Macaca fascicularis: one gene and its partners. The protein of the gene in region 2 binds, or shares a complex with, the protein of the main gene of each other region. Links are inferred from orthologs where the notes say so. Each region holds a gene or a part of one and is shown on either strand. Other genes may lie near its edges. The genes, in order: CWC27, CWC22, SNRNP40, CRIPT, PLRG1 and EIF4A3.

Region 1 (4,131 bases), on a different chromosome or scaffold from region 2:
TTCTCTTAAAATTCCCAATTAATACTTTGATAATATCATGTTTCTTATAAATATATATGCAAATATACTTATAAAGCCATTTTGATTTTCAATACATTTAAAAACTAAGTGTGTACAACAATAAGACAGACCCCTATCATTTGAAAGCAACATTATGCTAAGTGAAGATGCCAGACACAATTTAGAATAAGTGATCATAATATGTGGAAATTTCATCTTCAGGGAATTACCTCTTATGCTTAAAAAATTTCTATCAAGTACTATATTTCTTTGCCTCATCTTCAGGGGCTAGGGTTACAGCAAAACACAGAACATTTATGGACAACCAGGGACCAAGCACTGGTATCATTATCAATTACTTCCCAAGCTGATACTAAGCACTTTGAAGGGAGGAATTTTGTCCCATTTACTCTGAATGTCTCTGTACCCTTTCAGTACCTAATGTACCATTAGATAGTAAAGGCAATAAACATTCATTGAACAGACTTATTACATTTGCTTCAAATTCTTTACACACCAAATTTTTGTCCACACTCTCAACCTTACAGAACTTAGAAGCTTTAATATCTTTGATGAGCCTTATGGTGGAAAAAGTCCCAAGTTGTTTTTGGATGAAAACTTGGGCCCTTGTGTTATCATTCAGCCCATTTCTGTTCAGAAGACAGTATTTATCACATTTTGTAGTTAAACATTTATTTGCATGATTATTCAGTCAATGTATACTTCACTCAATTAACTCATGATAACTCAGACAATGTGGTTTTTTTTGTTTCCGTTGTATCCCTAAAACCTAGCATAGAGCCTGGCAATTGATTTGCTCAATCATTATTTGTTGAATGAATAATCTATTCAGGAATATATCCTTGTTAAAGCTTTTCATCTATGTGACCATGTCAAATCTTCCTTTACAACAAAGCAATTAAGTCTGTCCTTGACCAGCAGCAGTGTAACCTCAAACTCACTGATGCTTAATATTCCTCAAAAAACTAAGAAAAATATAGTATTAATTCATCCATCCATTCGTTTATTCAATACATAACTGAACTCCTTCTATCATGTATCAAGTACTGTTCTAGATGCTTGTCTCTGCCCTGATGTTCCTTGCATTCTATAGGGGGAAGGTAGGAGGAAGGATACAGTAATACCAAATAATTAATAAATACCATGGAAAAAAACTAAAAAAGTTAAGGGGGCCAGAGAATGCTGGGATGCAAGGCATGATTGAAGTTTGCTATTTCATAGAAAGTAGGTAAGAAAGGACTCTTTGCTAAGGTCAACACTTGATTAAACAGAGGAACAGCAAGTGTGAACGCCCTGTCTGGCAGTATGGTAAATCTATTCAATCTCTACCAGTATTTATTAACTGGGGGTGATACTGCCCTCAAGAAACATTTGGAAATAGGAGGAGGTAGGTATTTTGGGTTTTCACATTGATATTAAATAAGATAGGTGAGGGGTGGGATGGACCCAGTAACCTACAATGCCCAGGAGAAGTTCAAAGAATTGAAAGAATTGAGCTGCCCAAAATACCCATTAAATTTTTGCTGGGAATTACAGCATTTTTGGTTTTGCTTTTAAATTGCTCTCATTATATTATCAAATGTCAATGAATAAAAGACTGCATAAATTATTTATGATGTAATCATGTAACGAACAGGATGGTATGTTGTGTAAATTTAGCTTATCTTAATTCAACTATATACTTTAAATCTCATTTTCTCCAATATGCTGATTCATCAAATTTCATATGAGATAGGCTAGGTCTCAATTTAAGAATTCAGGTGACAGTTATTCCACAACGGACTCTTCAACACAAACACCTTGGATGGGAATTGGCATACATTAGCCATCAAATCAATTAGAGAAACCTTTCCCCACTCTAATGTGGTAACAGTCCCCATTTCCCACTTTCTCTGACTGACAGTCATCTCAGGTTTTAAAATCAGCTCAAAAGATACCTTTTCCATGAGGTTTTTCCTAACTTTCCCAGTTGTTCACTACTCAGTACCGCCATAGCAACCTGGTCTCTTCTCCACAAGCACGCTTATCAGACATACAGGCTTTTGTTTACCTGTCTCACAAACTAAACTATAAGCTCTTCCGGGAAAACAACTACCTTACCCATCCATCTTTGTATCTCCGGCGCCTAGTACAGTGCCCAGTGCCTAGCAGGCGTTCAATTAATGATTGCAGAAGAAATGCAGAATGAATGACCTCAAAGTTAAGCAAAGAATATATCAAACTCAGAAATGTACGTTTAAAAACCTAAGACTCTAGAAATCGGTTGCATGAGCTGGCTTAAAGCAGAAAACAGGACCGGAATGCTGGTAGGTAGAGAAATCTCCACCTGACTTTTTCAAGTACGTCCTGAAAAGTATAAACTTCAGTGTTTCGACGCAACATTGTCCACATGCAGGAATAAAGACAACACTTATCGTGGTCTCTTCCTACCCCGAGATCCCGAAACCCGTCCCCCACCCCAAATTTGGGAAATCTCACTTTGGAGATCCCAGGACCCCAAGTTCCCTAGATGAGGCTCTCACCTTCCCATTCGTGGGAGGCTCCTGGATGTAGATGTTGCTCATCCTGGTCAGTACAAAGGACTCTGCTCCTTATGAGGGATTAGAGCGGACGGCCGGTCACTAAAGCTGTCCGCCTAGGAGTACACTCTTTCTTAAGTCGAGTGGTGCAGGAAAACTTCAGTTTGTCAATATCACGCAAGACGGGGACACCAAACACTACCCTTGCCTAAAGGAGCCCCTCACGGACGCCGCCATGTTGTTACCGGACCCGAGCACCGCTAACCCTGAGAAGGGTTATTCCAGTGTACTCCAGGGAACGAGAGAAGTCTGTAAAGTTATTATAGCTTAATGTAATTTGTATTACAATATTAGAAGGGACACTTCATAAGTCTTGGCTGTGTTTACACTACTCGCGTGTGCAGATCAAACTGACCCCCCCCAAAAAAAACTATCAGTAATGGTTCGGACCATGTGTCTTCTGCACTATGACTCGTCCGGAAACTGCATCCGCGTCTACTGGTTCTGCTGCCGCTAGAAACGTAAAGGGCCTTCCTCACCGTAGCGAAGGTGCTGCTGCGCTGGGGGAAGGAAAACGGCGCTTTGGCTGTGCCTTGTTCTCGCAGCTGGCGGGAAGCAAGCGCCACTTCGAAAGCCGGAGGCTCAAGTGACCCCTTACCATCGTCATGGCAGTCCCAGGTAAGGAGCAATTACAGGGCCTCTGCGTCCGAGATCCGAAGGGAGCACAAGGGAGGGTAGGGTAGGGTGCGGGGTGTGGGGATCAGTGCCTATGGGGACTTAGGCGGAGGCCTTAAAATTCACAGGTTTGTTTTGTTTACATGAAAAAGTTTACACTCCAAAGATACACTCTGAAGGAAAGAAAGTAACTGTCTTCCCCCAGGAGCCAAGCCCCAGCTGCATGGGATTACAGGGAAAGTGTATTGTGGAAGGGAGGGAGGAGGGGGAGACTGTAACTGTGGGCCTAAGGGGGCGAGCAGCCAAGAAAAACTACCTTAACTGTGGTATGGCTTAAAACTAAAATTTGAAGTGGGAACACTTGGCCGACCCAGGTAACCAGAGGCGTCGTCTGTCCTAGAAGTCGCTAGGACCCACCGGGTGTCCGGGTTCTACTCCTAGCTCTTCCTGTTGTATGTAGCTGCTCCGTGGCCATAGAGTGGTCGTTTTGTGCTTCTGGGCCTCAGTTTCCTTATAAAAAGAAGGAGCTTTGTTGAATTATATATAAGATTTATTCTAACTCTCAAATTCTGTGTCCAGAAGTTACTGACCTAAAAACGGTGAACTCTGCAGAATAATTACTTAAAAGATTTTCTCTCCTCAACTACCAGCTTACTTGGAAGTTCTAGTAGCTGAGAGCGTCTCCTCAAACTGGCTTTGCCACTGCAGAACAGTGGTTGCAGGAGACATTTTCAGAAATATACACTCCTACACCCCACCTCCCAACTTGGAAATTCACAGTGCGCCTTAGTAATAGAAAAGATTCTGAGAATTACTATGGTTCAGAGCCCTAACTTTGTTTAAACCTGCCCTTCCCAGTATTATTTGACCAGATTCTTTGTTCTGTGGCAGCCTTTTTGAACATCTTTCTGCAGAT
Region 2 (3,500 bases):
TGAAGAGGAGACTGAGAGAGGAAGTGAGAAGAAGTGTGGAGCCACAGTGAGCAGGTGGTCAACTGCGTAAGTGAGGCACAGAAGTAAAGAGGCATGCGGCCTGAGAAAGACAACTGAATATGACAGGTGGTCACTGAGAAATCTGAAAAGATGATTTCAGTAGTGTCAATGGAGTAGAAGTCAATCTAAGTGGCAATCTGAATAAATAGGAAATAAGAAAGGTGAGAGAGGATTACATAATAGTCCTGAAATAAGGCTCTAGTTCCATGCAATAGACTTGAAAAATTATTAATAGATGAAATATATATTCAAAATTGTCCACTGATAATATTAGTTATCATTCTAAGGCTTAAAATTAGGGTAAAAAGAAAATAAAATTATAAATATCACTGGAGAATTCAAGTGAGCATACAAAAATAATTCTGTATTTTCTAAGAAAATTTAAAAAGGCATTAATTTGAACTCCATTTAAACTAAAAACCACCATTAAAAGTTGCACGTTGTCCTGTGAGACATAACATGAGATTCATAGTGATTAATGTCCTAGGGGGCTTAGTACTTGTTTTTACAATCTTGGATGGGCTTATATCTGCTACAATGAGAGAAAACCAGAGGTCAGTAAGAATAAAAAGTGCTTAATGGCAAACTTACTCATCCTTTAATCTTGCATTAAGTTTAGGAAGACCCATGTATTCACACAGTTCCTGGAAAAATATTTTGACAAAAATTCTACTGGATGATGTAGTGGTTTCTTCACTCAGTTTTATACATTCAAGAACCTGAAAATTAAAGTTTAAAAAGACAAGTATATTTAAATTTATAAAAGACAGGACAGAGTGACCAATATTTGTAGGTTTGTTTCTCAAAATTACTATTTATTCCCATCTTCAACCAGAGTTATCTCTGAATATCTCCCCTTAATGCTGATACAAAGTTTAAAACTTCTCTATACTAACTTTCAAAATGTTAAGATGCTACAGAAATAGATTTCATTCTCTGTTTTGAGTAATGTGCTTTTTATAGCAGGGAAGATATCCTCTCTTGAGCATATAATGGTAAAGATTACTAGCTCCTATACCTTACTCATCAAAATGTGGTGTATATGAGGGTTTGGGGCAAAATGCCACTTAGCACATTAGACTACAATTTTGTTTACCACACATATGATTAAAAAAAAAGACAAAGTATGATGGTTTATTCTGAATATTAAGACTGTGGCTTAAAAACTGAAATGCCTAAAGAAATATTTTTAGGGCAAATAAAAATAAAAGTAACCTCCAGTTTTTATGGGTTATGTGTTCGGGGGGCCCATTAGTTAATTGTTTAAAATTCTCATTTCATTTTCTCAAAGAGGGGAAAAAAGAAGTCAAAAATTATTACAATTAGTCTCCTAGGTTAGATTACAAATGCCTATTAATGCAGCTGGACATACTTGGTACTTAAAAGTACTATAAAAATCTAACCAATGTTTATAAGTTTGAGATATTGCTTCATTCTACCATTAGTACGATGGCATTCTACCATTAGTAGGATGGCATTCTACAAGATAATCCTGTTCTTTCCTCCTGCCTCCTGGATGTAATTTCTCCTCTCCTCTTCTCTTCTCTTTCTTTCTTTCTATTCCTTTAGCAATTTTGCTTTTCTTAGAATCTAAGACTTTTTATTTTGTATCATTGCTATGGGCATATCTTACTTCTGATCTTACACAGTAACCCTCCTGAAAGAAGGGGCCATGTATAATTCACTTTGAATACCCAGCACCTCTCTCAATGACTCAGTATATAAGTGGTGGCTAACTAACAGTGGTTGAATAACAGCTGTAAAATAAATGCCAACTTAATGAAAGCATTCTAAATTTCAATCCAGTGCACATTTCCCCATCAAGAATGTATCTTTCTTTCTTCTATGACTATAGGATATCCTCTCTATAGCTTACCCAACTTCAATGTCTGCTAAAAAGAACGAATCTTTCTAAGACAATCATTTTTCTTAAACCCAACAAGAGGATCCACGGAGAGTTATTCCCTTAGGAATCAAGGGAGAGTAATTCAGAGACACATTTACCACCAAAATAGTGGCATATGTGGATGTGAGTGTGCGTGCATGTGTGTGTACAAAGAGAACACGAAAATCTGCAGTATTTTTCCTGAAGACACTCCTAGCCATCATATTGAAACACTGGCATGTTTGGACAGTTAATATAATACAAAGACAGTATTTCTCGTGTATTACTTACCTAGCTTTCTGATTCCTTATTACATGAAGATAATCTTAAAGACAGCAGTTCTACACATTTCATTTTAAAGCACATTTCATAATAGGATAAATATAGCTAGCTTATACCAAAATCTATTTGAGAATAATAGGGAATTAGGAAGGAAGTATAAATATTGACCCATGTACTTACACTCCATGGAAGTGAATCGGTGTATAAAAGGTGAGCAAACATCTTAGCAACATTTCTCAATTTGTTTGTTTCCAGGCGATGGATGGTATCATACTGTTCTTTGAATATACTTTCAAAGGATTCCATGTACTCTTTCTTCAGCATGCAAAATCGCTAATAAATAAAAAATCAGTACCATTAAAAATTGAATGTTAATACAATTATGAGCATATTAAATCCTAAATTTACTGAATCAAAACTTAATATGTTTTATATTTTCAAAGAGCATATATCACTAAATCCTTTTGTGCCATTTGATGCTCAAAAAAGAAGTTAATATACATGGTTTATAATTATCTGAGATTTACATGTTAAAACAAAATCATACATATAGCTGATCACATGTGGGTAGAGCTTAAAGAAATATTGTAGATCATGCTTTAATTGAGCTGCCTGAACATGTACTTGACTTTAGAAACTGCTCTGAGATTTTGAAAAGACAGTATTTAATTGTTCTCTATTGGGAAATTGTTACAAAGCATGGAAAATTCCAAAAAGTTCTGGAAAAGTGATATGCAAAGTTAAAGGACTGCAGAAATGAAGCAGAAAAAGAGGAAGGTGAAGACAGCGGGAAACCTGAGGAAGGAGAGAATAATTTGCTTTTAGCAAAAATGGTAATATGTTGTTATATGAGGCCAGACCATAAAGCAGAAATAATTAATTTACAATATTTGTTTTAAGAATTCCCTTAGTAGATGCTGGAACTCACCCCAGCTAATAAGCCAAAAAATTTTTCATATGTCCTCTGTTGGGCACAGCAATCAAGTATCATGTTGCAGAGTTCTTTCTATTTGGGAAAAAAAAATACATTAATGATTCAAAACACAAAGAGACTAAATATTATATAATTTACTAGTATGATAGTGACTGCCTGCATTTTTAAATAAGGGTTTAAAACACTTCAAAAACTTTGTAAATAAAATAAAAACCTCAATCTATGTTAAACTCATAATTTTTTAAAGCCTTGGGTCCGGCTGACAGTCATTTATGCTTCCACAGTCATTATACTAATTATATTAATTATAAAATTCTAAATTCATGATAAGTATGAACC
Region 3 (3,500 bases), on a different chromosome or scaffold from region 2:
CCGCACCTGGCCAAAAGCAAGGATATTTCATCCAAAGTAACAGCAAAGGAAACAACGAGGGATGGAAATACAGTACAACTTCTAGGAAAGGACAACACAGAAAGTTGAGTATTTATCTGACAGTTACTATTCTCACTATAAAGCAGAAGGTAAGGTCAAAGTCGTTAAGATCCCCAAGGAAGCCAATAGGAAAGGAAGACAGAAGCCGTGCAGGACCAAAATAACACATTTCCTGGCACTTGTTATGTCCAGGAATTCTGCTAAGTGCTCTAATCAGGCTCATTTAATCGCTACAATGGTATGTGGTAGATGCCATGTGGTAGTTTTTGTTATCACTACCCCCTCAGCATTCACACAAGAAAAAGAGGCTTAAAGAAGGTGTTGAAGTCACAAAACTAGAAAATGGTGAAACTGGGATTAGAACTCAAGTCAATTACTTGAAAGTTTGAGCTACACTGTACTGCCATATGGTCTATTGCCTCTTTAATATCATTACCTTCTCTCATTCTTAGAGAAACTTAGAAAACTCCCTTTCCATAGTGTCAAAAAGAAAAACACAGTGAGAGATGAGGATACAGAATCACAAACTGATTCACTGCTCCCATTAAACTAAGATGGTTAAAAAAAGATTCTGAATGTCTTTAAAAGGAAATGCACTCTTTATTTTTTACATAGTCCCCCTACAGAGACTTCACACTTCACATTAAGTGCCTGGTCCCTGACAGCATTTATAAGATCTGCAGTGCAACCTTTAATTTAGGAAGTCAATGAAGACAGGAGAAAAAGAAAATAAGTTCCAAATTACTATTTTCCTTTCAGTTGGTATTAAGTGCAAAGCTACCACAATTTCAGAAGTTTGAAAAAATTTGTTTCTAAGTGCAGATGGGTGAAATGGAAATATATCATAAACATCAAACATACCTTGATATCATTGTCTATTCCACCAGAAATAATCTGATCACTTGTGTCATTGAAGGTCACAGCTAACACCTGGTACGTGTTCTGAAATGTCTGGATGGCTGCTTTCTTCCGGATGTCCCAAAGCTGAAGCAAAGGACAACAGGGTCTATCATTAATATCATTCTAAGAAGTAACTGCACAGTACAAATATCCCTAAGTACAAGGACTTTGTGAACATGAACACATCTATAATTGGGATCCCATTTCACTAACTCCTGGATATCCTAATAACACACATGGTAAGCAGTGTCCTCAATTTTGCTAAGACATTTGAAGGCTGGTGAAACAAAACTTCAGTTATATTTTCAGACTTCTTTGTTAAAGTGAATAAACAGAGTTAAATCAACATACTCTTAGAATGGAATTCCACTAATTACTTGGTTCATATATTTTTTAGGACAACAAGGATATCAGACAATTTTTTCAAACTGTAGATACTAATTCATTAGTGGGCTGCAACCCACATTTAAAAAAATAGAGAGCGGGTACGTCAGTGAAAATAGTATAATAAACAATGACAAAAGCTTGTCCTTCCACAAAACAACAAATGAACCAGCAAAAACCTGTCAGAATCAACTGTCGGAACTCTCATAACTAATCAAAAGTTTATAGTAACCAGGCAAACCCTTAATGAGGAAAAAGGAAACAAAAAAACCCCTGAGTCCCAGTAAAAGGGTTTTGTAGTGTTTTAACTTGTGCTGGCTCTGTCTCCCGCTCAGCAACAGCTTTGAAGATAACCCATATTCCCAGTATGGTTTCCTAGTACTGAGGAAGCAAAGGGGGGCCTATTTCTTATTGTCAAAGAATAAACAATAAAAATTGTTTATTTTTACTTGTCTGGTGGCTCCCTGAAGGATAAGCTCAAAGGACTTACATTTATTTATTTATTTATTTATTTTTTTGAGACGGAGTCTTTGCTCTGTCGCCCAGGCTGGAGTGCAGTGGCGCCAACTCGGCTCACTACAAGCTCCGCCTCCTGGGTTTACGCCATTCTCCTGCCTCAGCCTCCCGAGTAGCTGGGACTACAGGCACCCGCCACCTCGCCCGGCTGGTTTTTTGTACTTTTAGTAGAGACGGGGTTTCACCGTGTTAGCCAAGATGGTCTCGATCTCCAGACCTCGTGATCCGCCTGTCTCGGCCTCCCAAAGTGCTGGGATTACAGGCGTGAGCCACCGCGCCCGGCCAGGACTTACATTTATTTTGTCTAACTTGGAACTTTCCTTGAAAACATTTAGGCCGGGCGCGGTGGCTCAAGCCTGTAATCCCAGCACTTTGGGAGGCCGAGACGGGCGGATCACGAGGTCAGGAGATCGAGACCATCCTGACTAACACGGTGAAACCCCATCTCTACTAAAAAATACAAAAAAAAAAAAAAAAAAAAAAAACTAGCCGGGCGAGGTGGCGGGCGCCTGTAGTCCCAGCTACTCGGGAGGCTGAGGCAGGAGAATGGCGGGAACCCGGGAGGCGGAGCTTGCAGTGAGCTGAGATCCGGCCACAGCACTCCAGCCTGGGTGACAGAGCAAGACTCCGTCTCAAAAAAAAAAAAAAAAAAAAAAAAAAAAAAAGAAAACATTTAAAGGAAAGGATATTATTAGCCTCTGGTGCCTGGGGGCAAGGAAAAACAGTTGGGGCAAAAATACAAACCAAAAACCTTGGGAGGAAGGGCTGGGGAAGGAGACAATTTGGGGAGTAAGAGTTTTGAAAAGCACTGACATATTCCTGGCTATCTATCTTATCTATCTATCTTATCTTATCTATCTATCTATCTATCTATCTATCTATCTATCTATCTATCTATCTACCTACCTACCTACCTACCTACCTACCTACCTACCTACCTACCTATCTATCTATCTATCTACCTACCTACCTACCTACCTACAGAGTCTCCCTCTGTCACCCAGGCCGGAGTGCAGTGGTGCGATCTCGGCTCACTGCAACCTCCACCTCACAGGCTCAAGCAATTCTCCTGTCTCAGCCTCCCGAGTAGGTGGGATTATAGGCGCGTGCCACTATACCCAGCTAATTTTTGTATTTTTAGTAGAGACAGGGTTTCGCCATGTTGACCAGGCTGGTCTCACACTCCTGGCCTCAAGTGATCTGTCTGCCTCGCCCTCCCAAAGTGCTAAGATTACAGGCATGAGCCACCATGCCTGGCCCATCCCTGGCAATCTAGACCACTTGCATGTCCAGGGCTGGGCACATACTTAGAAAAGATCTGAGAAGGCCATAAGCTCTCTGGTTGACCTTCAGGCTCTGCACAAGCAGGAAGTGAAAGCTAAGGAGAGATGTAAACTGCACAGCAAGGAGTTGAAGGCAGGCTCCAACATACCAAAAGACAATCTGCAAAGACTGGGAGAGCTTTTGTTCTTGTTGTTGTAGGTAATTTAGGAAACTTCTGTCATTCACTAGCTGACCACTAAGCTAACAAAAAAAAAGAATTCAGTGGTAACACAGGACAAAGAATACAAACTTTACAAAATTAGTTCAAAAATTCACTAAACAGGCCAGGTGTGACAGCTCACACCTGTAATCCCAGC
Region 4 (4,164 bases), on a different chromosome or scaffold from region 2:
ACAATACACGTATTTAAATTACCTGAGAGTTAATTGTACTGTTAAACAAGGACTTTATTAATTTAAAGTAACAGTCAATATGTTACACTATGGAGAATATTCCAGAAAATAGAAATATCTCAGAAAAAAATACTACACACACACACACACACACACACACACACACACACGTGGGCGCGCGCGCGCGCGGAGGGGCGCCCGCTAGTGTGAAAAGCAGAAGGGCGAACCTGGGCCTTATCCTAATAGCTCTCATTTAATTCACCCAGTGCTTTTCAAAGGCAGATATTTTACTGATAAGGAAACAAGGCAAACAGGTGAGGTGGTCCAAGGTCCCACGCGCTACAGCTCTCTCTCTGGTATAAGGAAATACACTAGGCATGAAGAAGCAAACGGATGGCAAGAAGGGACAATGGTAAACTTTCCCATAGATTCTCTTAAGCTGATTGAGGGAGGGCAAGGGGATCAGGAATCCATTCTCTCAACAGATAGCCCTTCAGCCATTTTTCTGAGCCACCCTCGGAATCGCAGCTGCCATCAGATGTGGATGTAATACAGTGAGCAGTTACCAAACTCAACCGTTTGCTGAGTGAATGAAGGAACCAGAGTAGGCAAAGTGGGAAACCAACTCTCCTGGGAAACCAGCACCGTGTTAGGCCCTGGCGTGCCCCCAGGGCGCCTGCAGGGGTGCCACGGGCATGACGCGGCCCACCTTCCCCAGGCACCGCAGCGGAGAGAAGGCTCTTCAGAGCGGCCCCCAGAGGAGCCTTCACGGGCATCGCCGCACCTCCACCGGCAGCTCCACCCCAACCCTGGTCGCTGGGAATTCTGCCCGACCCTAGGCCGGCGCGAGCGTGGGCAGCGAGGAACCAGCTGAGAAGCAGGATCAAAGAGCTCGGGAGTTGGAGACAAAGAAAAACTGGGGGACAGAGGCAAAAACTCGGATCCGAAAGGGGGTCTGTCCATCAGGGCACGCCGGAAGAGTGGCGCTCGAGCTGACGGCGAGAGCTGGCGGGCCGGGGCGCCGAGGCTCAGGGCTGCTTCGGCAATTCGCGGGGGTGACTTGCACCCCGGGAGGCGAGAGCGCCTGGGAAGTCCAGCGAGGCTTACCTAACTTTCCCGCCCGCGGAAGGGAAGCGGGGAACTACTGCCTCCCACCATCAGGTACGACAGGAGGCCCAGGCCCACGCGCAGACGCAGGGTTGTGGGGCGGACACCCACGGCCGAACAGCCAGTCGCAGAAAGGGAGGGGCGGGCAAATGGGGCAGCCCCACCTAGCCGCTCGCGTTCATTCCTCCCGCGGCTTTCCAGGTTTGGGGTAGGCGGGAGCGGTGGGCTTAGAAGCCGGAAGTGGATTGACGTAGCCCGGAAGGGGAATACTTCCCAGTTACAGTGTTGATGTTTTCAGGCTCCTGCTGCTCCTGTTGCGGCTAGGGGAACTGTCGTGGGGAAGGATGGTGTGCGAAAAATGTGAGTTAAGGGGCTGCTTCTGCGGGAGGAGGAGGCTGGGATAATCTAACTGAGCCCTCCCGGGAACTTTGCCTTCTCTTTGTTTTTTTCGCCCACAGGTCTCTGATTCTAGCCGCTGTCTTTCTACCCTACCCTTTGACCATTTTTGCACCTCCCCAACGACCATACAGTCCTATGTATTTTGTACTCAGAATGGTCTCAGTTCTGCACCTCCCTCTCTATTTCCATTGCCTTCCCCCAGCCCCAGATCTCATCGGCTCCCCTCCCATATAAAAATGTTCAGTTAAACCCCAGCGACACCTTTCCCTCTTGGCAATTCCTGTCCTTTCCTTTTTATTCGTGTAACAAGTATTGTACTCCTGCCAAATGTTAGACACTGGAACCAAAGACTTAGGACTTTGCCTTATTCATTCTCATTAGTCATTATGCCAGGATATGGCGTAGAGTAAACCCAGAGATGTTTGAATTGAACATCAACGTAAGTGCAAATTATTATTTCCCTAATTTAAATCCTTTAATAAACTCTCAGTGTGCAGAGAATAATTTGGGGATTCTATATTTGGAACCTGACGTTCAGTACCCTCCACACTAAGGCGCTAACTTATTTTTCCAGCTTCATTTTCACTGACCCTCATCCTCTTCACACTTTGACCAAACAAAATACTCTTTGTGCCCATGTGTACTCTAAGCTTTCTATGCCTTTCCTCAGAATGTGTCCTTTATCTAGTTTGCGTTCATCCTCTTTACTCCTTTTTGTTCACAGTCCTGTTGCCACATATTCAAATCCTCTCTCTTGCCTTCTCTCCAAACTTTGTTTTCTTGGATTTCCTTAGCCAGGGTTATTTTTTCCTGCCTGGAATTTCTCCTAGTACTTTAGTTCTCAATTATTATATCTTTTATTTTTTAGCTTACATTTTGGTTGAATGGTTCTTTTTGGGGAGACGGTCTGTGATCCCTCTGAGAATCTGATGAAAACTGTAGCCTCTTGCCAGGAAAAAAAACTGAAAATATAAAAGGTTTGTGTACAACTCCACCTTGTTCACATATCTCTTAAGATCCACCTGGGGAACCCAGGTTACAGATTGCTGTTAAAGAAATTAGTATACTATAATCTCATTAAAATTTTGTCTGATTCATCACTTTTTCTCAGCACTTTCTATAGTTTATACATCATAGATGCTTAGTAAATATTTATGGAACAAATAGACTTATTGGATTTTTTAAAAGTATAAACAAACAGTGAAAGCTTATTATAAGCCATCTTATTATCCTGCGAATTTTACCGACGGTCAGTCATTCATTGCCCACAGTTAATATGAGTCTCAGTTGACTGGCTGCTTTCTCAGCATTAACAGGCTCCTATGGTAATAGCATTGATAGTCGATACCATTGTGAGCCTTAGGCACAATGTAATGCACTTATGAAATAGTAAATTTTAATTTTCCTTTTACTATCTTGTTCTAACAGGTGAAAAGAAACTTGGTACTGTTATCACTCCAGATACATGGAAAGATGGTGCTAGGAATACCACAGGTATTTCTTCTTTTAGAAAATAGGAATTTAACCAAATACTTACTGTGAATTATATTTTAGCTTTTACATTATTTGTACAATGAAATGTTGTATGTTCAAAGTATTTTATCTATTAAATATTAAAGAATACTGGGTCCCCAAGTGATTTAATATCTTTTATTTAGTTCTCAGTTACTTGTATGGGTTCCCAATATCAGGAGATAGCAAAATTATTAAATGATTGTCAAGTGGTGACAATATCACAGTATTTGATTATCACAATATTTGATTTGATTCAGCTTATTTAGAGTCTGTTTTTAATTTCCCCACTCTTCTGAGGAGAAATTTTTTTAAATCTTCTGATTTTTATATTCTTGAATAAATAAATGCTTTAACCCATTTTACCTTCATTATCATTAAATCTTTATAATGAAGTATTTACCTTCATTATTATTAAATACATATAGTAAAGTATGTTTTCAAAGCGTAGACAAATAAACATTTTCATTATATTGAAGGTCTATGACACTGAAGTAGTGGCTTCTAGATTTTACACTATATAGAGTAAATATAGACCCATTCCTAAAGTACTCCCTTGAGTCTGAGAAATAAAATGATTGTATTTTATACAAATTTTTACTGTTTCCCTAATAAATGTTTTCTTTTTAAGCAGTGTCTTAATAGCCTACTAAATGAGGATTTAAAAATTAGATACAGACTACTATTTTGGTAGAAAGTCAAAGAATGAACTTCTTAATGTTTTATGTTAAATGTATAGAAATAACCCACTAAAATATCTTTTATTCTGATACAGAAAGTGGTGGGAGAAAGCTGAATGAAAATAAAGCTTTGACTTCAAAAAAAGCAAGGTGGGTAAGAGCATCCATAGACAGATCATATAAATTTCCTTTCTTTTAGTATTAAGTCTGCTGGAGTGAATTTGATGTGCATCATTCCATTTGCAATAAAACATAAAGGTAGGTGGTTCATAGCACTCAGAACCAAGCTATCTGTTACAATCCTGCTGGTTTTACCTTATTCCTCCTTGGCTGTATCAATATATGAAGATATTAGTGTTATTCTCTTACAGTTTCACCAGAAAACATGACTTGTATTTTATCTCCTTCTTAATTATCCTATGAATCAGAGACAGCAGGGAAATGTGGAAAGATGGTAAGCTTTGGA
Region 5 (4,082 bases), on a different chromosome or scaffold from region 2:
CCACACCTAAGTCCTGCCAGCAGGGGCAAAAATAACACATTTTATTTTTCTATTTTTAAAATTCACACATACGTCTGACATTTCTGATAATACCATACTCACCTTGATTGGCAGGGTACTGTTTATGAACATATGAATCCGTTGCATTCTGAGGACCCTTCTCTTTAAGATTTTCTTTCAAAGTAGGCATATGCAACACAGGACCATACTCATTACGAAGCTTGATTGCCATCTTCCGTTTGTGACTATTTAGAAATTATAAACATAAGAACGTATCCATAAATACTTTAAAACAAACACTTAGACAGCTTAAGTTTGCCCAATCATGTAGGAAAAGTTTCTAGTAAGATTTTAAGTAGTATTTAAAAGAATCAAAAATTTCCAAGTGCATTTCCCCACCATATCTGTTCTTTTGCTCACATTCCACCACACAGCATTCATTAAACCTAAGTAATATTTTAGTTTGTTACCTAATAGAAAATATTTTATGATAAATTATCAAGGGTCTGCTTGAAAGATATATAGAAACTAACATACCCTTTAAGAAACCTCAAAGTCAATACGCTTTCCTTCAAAATATAAATATAGTAAAAACTCTACAGCAACCTTTACTAGATGTATCCAAACAGGTTAGTTAGAACTAAGAAAAGTACTTAATTGGTTCAATATTTTAAAAAGAAATGCACTTATATTACTTTTAAAAATAGTCTACTTTACAAATTAAATATAAATGCTTGTTTGAGGAGTTAAGTCGATTTTAAAAGGGTAAAGGACAAAGAAGGAACACTGCACATAATGCAATCCCAGACTGGAGCTGGATATGTAGAACCAAAAATATGCCACCACTCAAAAATCTTCATCATACTAACGAGAAAAGATGGGAGTAGAGGTACTGGCCAGGTACAATTTCAGCTCAGCAAGGCTCTGAGAGCAGCGGGAAGCTGAAAGCACATACAAAGTGATTGATTATAAAATAAAATACCTAAAAGGGACTCTCTTAATTACTGGGTATTTGTAAAATGCAATTAATTAATGGAACTTTTACTGTAAAAGGCCAAAAAAAAAAAAAGTTAAATCAGCTTAAATTATGCCAAAACACCACTCATTATTGAATTAGCCCATGAGTATTGCCAGTTTATCTTTAAAGGTCTCCCTCTTCCTGCTCTCTTCCCCCAGTATTAGAATGTTAAATATTTCAGCAATTGAAAAAAAAACTATACCAACCTCTCTTCATCTAAAGGCACAGGTTTTCCATTATCAGCTACAAACATGTCATGGGTCCTCTTCAATGACCTGAACACAAGTGTGTGTACAGAATGTTTCTGTACCTCCTTAAAAAAAAAAAAAAAAAAAAAAGTAATTACACACCTATCTACAAATTACACAAATCATAACCTAACGTCAGATTGATTATACACTTCACATGTTTAAATATGTAAAAAGCTTTATACCACTCACCATAGCTACTTGTTGCGAGCTACAGGAGTCAAGTTCAGAGAAGAGGAGGAAGCTCCTCTTTGGCTAGAACCTCAGGTATAGCAACTGAGTGATGCCATAGTTTAGTCATTTACTCAATAAATATTTACTGAGCTCCTACTGTGTGTCTGGCAGGTATCGTGCTAGAATCTCACAATAGAATGATAAAAGGTAGTCATGGTCCCTGTGCTCAAGAGGAAACAGACAAATAAAAAGTAAAATAATTCCACATTTTGATAAGTGCTATGAGGGCAACAAGCAAGGCACTGGGTCGGGAAACGAAGGACTAAGTATAATTGTGAAAGACTTCACTAAAGTGATATTTAAGCAGAAAGGGAGTTAGCCTTGCACAAAACAGAGATAAAAACGAACCAGGCTGATGGAAATGTCATGTAAAAAAATGTTCAGTTAACTGAAATAATACAAGAAGGGCGGCACAGCTGTATATGGTGGATGAGATGGTGCTTTGTGGTTGCAAGGGTAGACAAGGTCCAGATTAGGTAAGGTATTTTAGACTATTACAACAGCCTATGTTTTCTTCTAGCAACACAGTCAGTAAAGGGTTTTAAACAAGAAAGGTATGAACAACTTACATTTTAAACAGAACAACTTATGGAACAAAATGGAAGCAAGGAAATCAACGGGGGGCTAATGCACCAGGCCCGGTGAAAGATGATGTTGGTCTCAATTAAGGTGGACTGCAGTGGATACGGAGAAAAGTGAATGGAATCAATAAACATGTGGGGTAACATGGACAAGACCAGCTAACAGAATGGCTGGCTGTTCATGCCAGGGAAAGATGTAAAGAATGGCAAGTTTTTCTGGGAGTAGAGTTGAAATAAGAGACGACTTGAACGCAAGATAGAGAAGACCGCCAATCTTTTCGGGCACAGAATCACTGACACTGCCCCGAGGGCGGCGAGTACCAGTGGTCGAACACCAACAGAGGCCCCGCCTCCAAGGACAGTTTCCAGCTCCCAAGAGTCAAACGAGGACTGGACGAATTATCTCAGGCTTAGCGCCCGGACTGAACCTCCGACTCGGGTTCTCATCCGGCTTCTACCCCTTCCCCGAAAACCCGATGAAGAGACCACCCGGCCTTGGCCAAACAGCTTCCCTCGTAGCCTCTTTTCTCTCCGGACTCCAAGCACTCTCAATCCCCCAAGCCCACTGCCAAAGAAAAACAGTCCAGAGACAAACGACTCTTGAGAGTCCCAGTGTCACTTTACCTCGACCATGATGCTACCGCGTATCCCACCTCCGGCAGAGAAGAAACCCTAATCACTAACGCAGTACCCGCCGCCACAACTGTGCTGCACCTTCCGGAATTGGGAGGCCAGGCGGCGGATGTGATGCAAGCTCTGCGCACGCGCGCTAGTCTCCCCCGGCCCTCTGGGATCAAGAGGCGGGTCTCCCTCCTCAGGACCGCCCCTAGGGCGGAGGCTCGAGGCTGTAGAGGGGAGACACCTGGAAGCGCCTGACTGGAGGATTTCACTCGCTCCTCTGAAGAAGTCTTCGAATTATGTTTTCTGCCTTACCTTCAGCCTTCAATGTCTTGGCTGGGGCCCTGGTTGTTCATGCTGTATTCCCCGGAGTTTAATGCTTTTTATTCAGAGAGCCTAAGCTCTCTGGAGAGCAAACTCCCGTGGGCTCTATCTAAGGCGCTTCCGCTGCCTTGATCTCTTTGGAGGTCGCCTGCTTGCTTTCTGTCTCCTGGTTCCAATCCTGGCGAGAAGCACTTGGACACTTGTAGGCTTAACACCTGAAAACAATTTCGCTTAAACAGTTCAGTAAACACTTGCTGAGTGAATGTTGAGGAATGGCTGTTTTAATTTGGAAAATTTTGACATGTAGATATAAGAAAAACCCATATTCATTTTCTGCTAATAGATTTTTTTTTTTTTAACTTCTCAACGCTACATAGCTCTTGGACATTTCCTAGTTGTCTGCTGATTATTGTGGCTTCAACAATGCCAGGGTACAGCTTTTCAAAGCTGGTAGAAGAAAGACACAATTGGAGACTTTAGCCATTTTTATTTATACATATCCTTGTGCCAAGTATTGGTATTTTTGCTTCCTACCCTGGTAAAATCTCCGGTTTTGATCAACCCTACCTAATTATTTTTCTATGTAAAAAGAAAAATGGATGGACTTGGGCATTTGCAAACTTAAATAGACAAAACATTTTACTGGCCCTGTTTCAGTTTCACTGATCTGTCCTGACAGCGTACTGCATACACTTTGAGAGGGGGAAACAATCTAGCAAAAGAATAGCAGTGTAAATCAACGTCACTTGGAAATTCATTAAAAACATTAAGGTCATGGTTTTTTGTTTGTTTGAGAGGGAGTTTTGTTCTTGTCGCCCAGGCTGGAGGGCCATGGCGCAATCTTGGCTCACTGCAACCTCCTCCTCCTGGGTTCAAGCGAGTCTCCTGCCTCAGCCTCCGGAGTAGCTGGGATTACAGGCGCCCGCCACCACGCCCGGCTAATTTTTGTATTTTTAGTAGAGACGGGGTTTCACCATGTTGGCCAGGCTGGTCTTAAACTCCTGACCTCAGGTGATCTGCCCCTCTCGGCCTCCCAAAGTGCAGGAATTACAGGCATGG
Region 6 (4,154 bases), on a different chromosome or scaffold from region 2:
TAATCTTCTGGGTGTGCAGCATCTGGAAGTATAAGTGCCAAAATGTTCCTGGCAGTTACTGCAGTAGAGGGGTGAAAAGCAGCTAACTTTTTACTCTAATTACTTCCTTAGGTTTGACTGGATTACAAACAACCTATACTACTTTTTTTTTTTTTTTTTTTTTTGAGACGGAGTCTCGCTCTGCCGCCCAGGCTGGAGTGCAGTGGCCGGATCTCAGCTCACTGCAAGCTCCGCCTCCCGGGTTCACGCCATTCTCCTGCCTCAGCCTCCCGAGTAGTTGGGACTACAGGCGCCCGCCACCGCGCCCGGCTAGTTTTTTGTATTTTTTTAGTAGAGACGGGGTTTCACCGTGTTAGCCAGGATGGTCTCGATCTCCTGACCTCGTGATCCGCCCGTCTCGGCCTCCCAAAGTGCTGGGATTACAGGCTTGAGCCACCGCGCCCGGCCTATACTACTTTTTAAATTAAAAACAAAAACAAAAAAAACCAGGAAAGTCACTGTAGCCATTCTTCTCTCCTCCTAGCTAGCATTAAGTCTGTGTGTTGCTGACAGGTCTACAATTCTATTTAACCTGCTTGGGTCACACTGTGGGGTGTCCTACGCTGTTCTCCTGTCTGGATGCAGCTCACTAACTACCATACCATCTCTCCTGCAAAGCAACTACTACACCAAAGGGGGAGGCTATTTTGAAGAAGAACCATGTGTTTTTCAAGTAAGTAAATAAAACTTTATGTACAAAACTCTAGTTCAGTTATTTTTTGGTAGTCTCTTAAATGTAGCTCTGTTCAGTTCTGGGGCATAGCGAAAAATGAGAAACAAAAGAAAATGTAGCACAATTTCCCATCTTAACACAAAAGCAAATATAGCAGATGATTTAAACTCTTCAGGAAGAGCAAGCACATGGATGGGAAACTAACAACAGTGTCTTAGGGCAGGGACCGCCTGAGTGCCAGGAAACCAGGTGGGGCTGTCAGCCTCGCTGGAAGGCTGGCTGAGATGCTTTCTCACCACCCATCCTCAGCACCTTCGCCTCACTTTGTCCAAACTGTTGTGGCATCAAGAATTACAGGATAAGATCAGGTGGGGTGGCTCACACCTGTAATCCCATCACTTTGGGAGGCTGAGGCTGGCAGACCACTGAGGTCAGGAGTTCAAGACCAGCCTGGGCAAGATGGCAAAATCCCATCCCTACTAAAAATACAAAAACTAGTAGGGCATGGTGGTCGGCTACTTGGGAGGCTGAGGCAAAGGAATCGCTTGAGCCCCAGAGGCAGAAGTTGCAGTGAGCCGAGATCATGCCACTACAGTCCAGCCTTGGTGACAGAGCAGGACTGTCAGAAAGAAAGAAAAGAGAACTACAGGATAAAAAATGTCCCTGTCCCAAGCATTAAACACAGGCCATTTACCCCAGATGCTGGCCATTCCCATCTATGTGCCCAACCCAATCTCTTCTCCAGGCTCTCTCTCAACTTCCACAGATCTTTCAAACATACCAAGAGACAACTCCTGATTCTGACTCTCTGGAGTGCTGCCTACCTAGCCACATGTTTGCAGCATCAACCACTGGTTACTCAAAACACCAACCCTCCTCCTCCTGTCACTCACAGTCAATCCATCAGCCAATGCTGTCAGTTCCCTGGCACTCCATCTCCAAGGCAGCACAATCCTCTCTTCCCTTAACTGGAGCAAAAGCTTCCCAACTCTTCTGTTTCCTCTCCTGCCCTGCCTCGCCTCACCTGAAATTCACAGACACCCAGAAGAATCTTTAAAGCTGTAAATGTGATCGTGTCACATAGCTACTTACTACATTCCAGTGGCTTCCCACTAGATTTCCAAATGAAATTCAAATTATTCGTCACCCCTACACGTCTTTGCTAAATCTGGCCCCTGACTAGCTCTCCAAAATCCCACCACAGGGGACTTCTTTCAGTTCCTGGAATGCAGCTGGCTAAGGGCTGCAAAGCCCTGGCACCAGCTGTTCCTTCTGCCCCAACTGCTCTTCCCTCCTCTCCTAAAAGTCTCCTTCATCCATACCTCTGCTCAAATGGCAACCCCTCCTGCGAACCCCCTTACCTCTCTGCTTTACTAATTATCTCCTCCTTCCCAGGCCCACTCTATTCAATTACCTAGCTTCGGGTTCTTCCCAGCAACAACCACTGCCTGGGCAATCTGACCGCATGCTGTCCCCCCAAAGGAAATTCAAAACCCGTAAAGGCGCAAACCCATCTGGTTTACCGCCAAAACCCCAGTAACTAGAAAAGTTAGTAGGTACAAAACAGTTATCTGCTGAATGAACGACTCCGAGGTGCCTCGAAGCGGCTGTAGCCCCCGACGGACCCAGCGCCGAGCTCTGCACAGGGGACACACAGCGAACGCGCCGACACAGCCAGGCGTGAGGGCAGGGGTGGGGGGGGGGGCGCACGTCACTGGCCCCCGAGCCTCGACCCTGACCACGACCTCCGGAGTGCAGGGCCGGCCCGGGAGTCACCAGTCGGGCTCTCAGCCCCCGGCTCGCCGCCAGCTGGCCCCCGCGGCCCGCGCCCACTCACCGTAAGCGTAGATGCCCCGCAGTAGGTCCTCCCGCAGGCCCATGGTGTCGAACGTGGGGGTCACATCCACCTCCTCGCTGGTCTCGAATTCCACTTTGGTCATGTCTTCCTCTTTGAGCAGACGCTTTCGCGCCGAGCCCGAGGTCGCCATCGTGGCCGTGGTCGCCATGATTTAGAGTCCGCGGAAGAGCACAGCGCGCGCCACAGCGTAAACCACCTCCCGACTCTTCTCGCTGCCGGGGCCGAGAACTGACGCCTTAGCGTGAGAAAGCGTAAGACGTGCGTACGTGCGTATGTGCGTGCGTACGTGCGCGCGAGGCGACCCCGCCTCTGGGGCGGGGCACTCTTCGTCACTTGAAAGGGAACTGGGCGTTTGCCGCAGGAAAAAGTAAGATGTTTCTGCTCTCGCGCCATATGCAGTTCTCGCGGGATCTCGTTGAGGGCGGGGCACCCAGTTCCTTATAAAAGGTACGGAAGCGGGTGGATTTCCAGAGTTGGTGGCGTTTTGTGGCGGTTGCGGCAGTTTGGGACGCTAAGGCTCTTTGAGCGGCGTGCGGCCCTGAATCCCCTGACAACAGGCTGGGGGCCGCCAGGGGCCTCCAGTCCGGGTGGCGTCGCCACACAGCCCCGCCTCGAATGAAGAGGACGAACACGGGTCCTCTCTCGGGCCCGCATTGGGTGGACTGCGTCGCGGACCCGTAGTGGGGGCGCCCAGCTCGCCGGGGAGATTCGGGTGGAAACCCTCACGGCCCCCGGTGGTGGGCGCCGGCGCGGCGCTGGGCTCGGGCGGGTCTGCGCTGGGGAGGGCCAGGGCCTCTAATGCCGGTGTCTTTGGGGACGCGCCTGTGTGTGTTTTCGCCGTTTGCCTGGTCAGTTGGAGACAGGGTCTCTCTTTGTCGCCCAGGCTGGAGTGCGGCGGTGGGATCAGGGCTCACTGTTGCCTCCGCCTCTAGAGTAGCTGGGACCTCAGGCGCGCGCCATGATGTCCGACTAATTTTTTTAAATTTTTTGTAGAGACGGTGTTGGGGGAAGGGTGGGGGTTAGGGTTGTCCAAGCTGGTCTTGAACTCCTGAACCTCAGGTGATCCGCCCGCCCTGGCCTCCCAAGGTGCTGGGATTACAGACATGAGCCACTGTGCCCGGCAAGCAGCTGTTATAAAGTAAAATACACGCAGAGCCTGCAATTTACTCTTAATGAAAGCCTCCTGTCTAGACGGTGTTAATAATGCGTGTCCTGCAGCAAAGATAACCCAGACGGGATCATGTAATTGCCCAGCAGAACGGTAACCAGTTGCGCATCTTAACCTGCTTTTAGTTCATTTGTTTTGAGACAGAGCCTGGCTCTGTCGCCCAGGTTGGAGTGCTATGGCACGATCTCCGTTCACTGCAGCCTCCACCTCCCAAGCCCAGGCGATCCTCCCGCCTCAGCCTCCAGAGTACCTGGGACCACAGGTGCCGCTGCTACGCACAGTCCTAACCACTTTCTTATCTGACACTTGAAGTGCTTCTACATACCCAGCTCCTCTAATGCACTTTGAAGCAGCTCCATCATCTTTGAAGGGCAGTTCACGCTGTTGAGAATCATGTTTTTAACTGTGGGAAAAGT

What was found.
Region 1: the proteins of CWC22 (region 2) and CWC27 are in contact, whole or in part, in a crystal structure (PDB 6YVH), measured with the Homo sapiens proteins. The link is inferred for Macaca fascicularis from reciprocal best matches to the Homo sapiens genes CWC22 and CWC27. Residues at the interface, in NP_001362958.1 of Homo sapiens: Leu239, Arg242, Lys243, Tyr245, Arg246, Asn248, Asp249, Lys250, His270, Glu271, Val272, Leu275, Glu276, Thr279, Leu280, Leu281, Glu283, Arg284, Thr286, Asp288, Ser289, Val292, Val307, Ser308, Pro309, Arg310, Gly311, Thr367, Met369, Leu372; in NP_005860.2 of Homo sapiens: Arg381, Glu382, Asp383, Gln384, Thr385, Leu386, Leu388, Leu389, Phe392, Lys393, Lys395, Leu396, Thr397, Ile400, Glu412, Asp415, Asp416, Glu417, Gly418, Trp419, Met420, Ser421, His422, Val423, Leu424, Gln425, Phe426.
Region 3: CWC22 (region 2) and SNRNP40 share a complex: the UniProt entries of both Homo sapiens proteins name them as parts of the minor spliceosome. The link is inferred for Macaca fascicularis from reciprocal best matches to the Homo sapiens genes CWC22 and SNRNP40.
Region 4: CWC22 (region 2) and CRIPT share a complex: the UniProt entries of both Homo sapiens proteins name them as parts of the minor spliceosome. The link is inferred for Macaca fascicularis from reciprocal best matches to the Homo sapiens genes CWC22 and CRIPT.
Region 5: CWC22 (region 2) and PLRG1 share a complex: the UniProt entries of both Homo sapiens proteins name them as parts of the minor spliceosome. The link is inferred for Macaca fascicularis from reciprocal best matches to the Homo sapiens genes CWC22 and PLRG1.
Region 6: the proteins of CWC22 (region 2) and EIF4A3 are in contact, whole or in part, in a crystal structure (PDB 4C9B), measured with the Homo sapiens proteins. The link is inferred for Macaca fascicularis from reciprocal best matches to the Homo sapiens genes CWC22 and EIF4A3. Residues at the interface, in NP_001362958.1 of Homo sapiens: Thr129, Gly130, Gly131, Ala132, Tyr133, Pro135, Pro136, Ala137, Lys138, Arg140, Lys164, Asn167, Gly168, Ile170, Asn171, Lys172, Val173, Asn174, Ser176, Asn177, Ile180, Ile181, Glu184, Ala207, Ser208, Ile210, Phe211, Tyr215, Lys330, Arg331; in NP_055555.1 of Homo sapiens: Met43, Gly44, Ile72, Ile73, Lys74, Gly75, Gln98, Cys99, Met183, Gln213, Val256, Ala257, Glu259, Trp263, Asp266, Thr267, Asp270, Leu271, Tyr272, Asp273, Thr274, Leu275, Thr276, Ile277, Thr278, Gln279, Ala300, Asn301, Phe302, Thr303.

The regions. Positions count from the first base shown.
Region 1 is NC_088380.1:70,438,320-70,442,450, reverse strand, and holds the start of CWC27 (spliceosome-associated protein CWC27 homolog), read right to left. Parts: upstream 2,801-4,131; 5' UTR 2,586-2,800; coding exon 2,544-2,585; intron 1-2,543. UniProt on the Homo sapiens protein: As part of the spliceosome, plays a role in pre-mRNA splicing. Probable inactive PPIase with no peptidyl-prolyl cis-trans isomerase activity. As a component of the minor spliceosome, involved in the splicing of U12-type introns in pre-mRNAs.
Region 2 is NC_088386.1:75,511,567-75,515,066, forward strand, and holds part of CWC22 (pre-mRNA-splicing factor CWC22 homolog), read right to left. Parts: intron 3,234-3,500; coding exon 3,156-3,233; intron 2,561-3,155; coding exon 2,408-2,560; intron 780-2,407; coding exon 652-779; intron 1-651. UniProt on the Homo sapiens protein: Required for pre-mRNA splicing as component of the spliceosome. As a component of the minor spliceosome, involved in the splicing of U12-type introns in pre-mRNAs. Promotes exon-junction complex (EJC) assembly.
Region 3 is NC_088375.1:203,728,177-203,731,676, reverse strand, and holds part of SNRNP40 (U5 small nuclear ribonucleoprotein 40 kDa protein), read right to left. Parts: intron 1,045-3,500; coding exon 922-1,044; intron 1-921. UniProt on the Homo sapiens protein: Required for pre-mRNA splicing as component of the activated spliceosome. Component of the U5 small nuclear ribonucleoprotein (snRNP) complex and the U4/U6-U5 tri-snRNP complex, building blocks of the spliceosome.
Region 4 is NC_088387.1:75,424,960-75,429,123, reverse strand, and holds the start of CRIPT (cysteine-rich PDZ-binding protein), read left to right. Parts: upstream 1-1,364; 5' UTR 1,365-1,451; coding exon 1,452-1,467; intron 1,468-2,934; coding exon 2,935-3,000; intron 3,001-3,793; coding exon 3,794-3,848; intron 3,849-4,164. UniProt on the Homo sapiens protein: As a component of the minor spliceosome, involved in the splicing of U12-type introns in pre-mRNAs. Involved in the cytoskeletal anchoring of DLG4 in excitatory synapses.
Region 5 is NC_088379.1:159,465,751-159,469,832, forward strand, and holds the start of PLRG1 (pleiotropic regulator 1), read right to left. Parts: upstream 2,801-4,082; 5' UTR 2,715-2,800; coding exon 2,706-2,714; intron 1,332-2,705; coding exon 1,225-1,331; intron 942-1,224; exon of another isoform or gene 870-941; intron 246-869; coding exon 103-245; intron 1-102. UniProt on the Homo sapiens protein: Involved in pre-mRNA splicing as component of the spliceosome. Component of the PRP19-CDC5L complex that forms an integral part of the spliceosome and is required for activating pre-mRNA splicing.
Region 6 is NC_088390.1:86,553,680-86,557,833, forward strand, and holds the start of EIF4A3 (eukaryotic initiation factor 4A-III), read right to left. Parts: upstream 2,801-4,154; 5' UTR 2,719-2,800; coding exon 2,550-2,718; intron 1-2,549. UniProt on the Homo sapiens protein: ATP-dependent RNA helicase. Involved in pre-mRNA splicing as component of the spliceosome. Core component of the splicing-dependent multiprotein exon junction complex (EJC) deposited at splice junctions on mRNAs.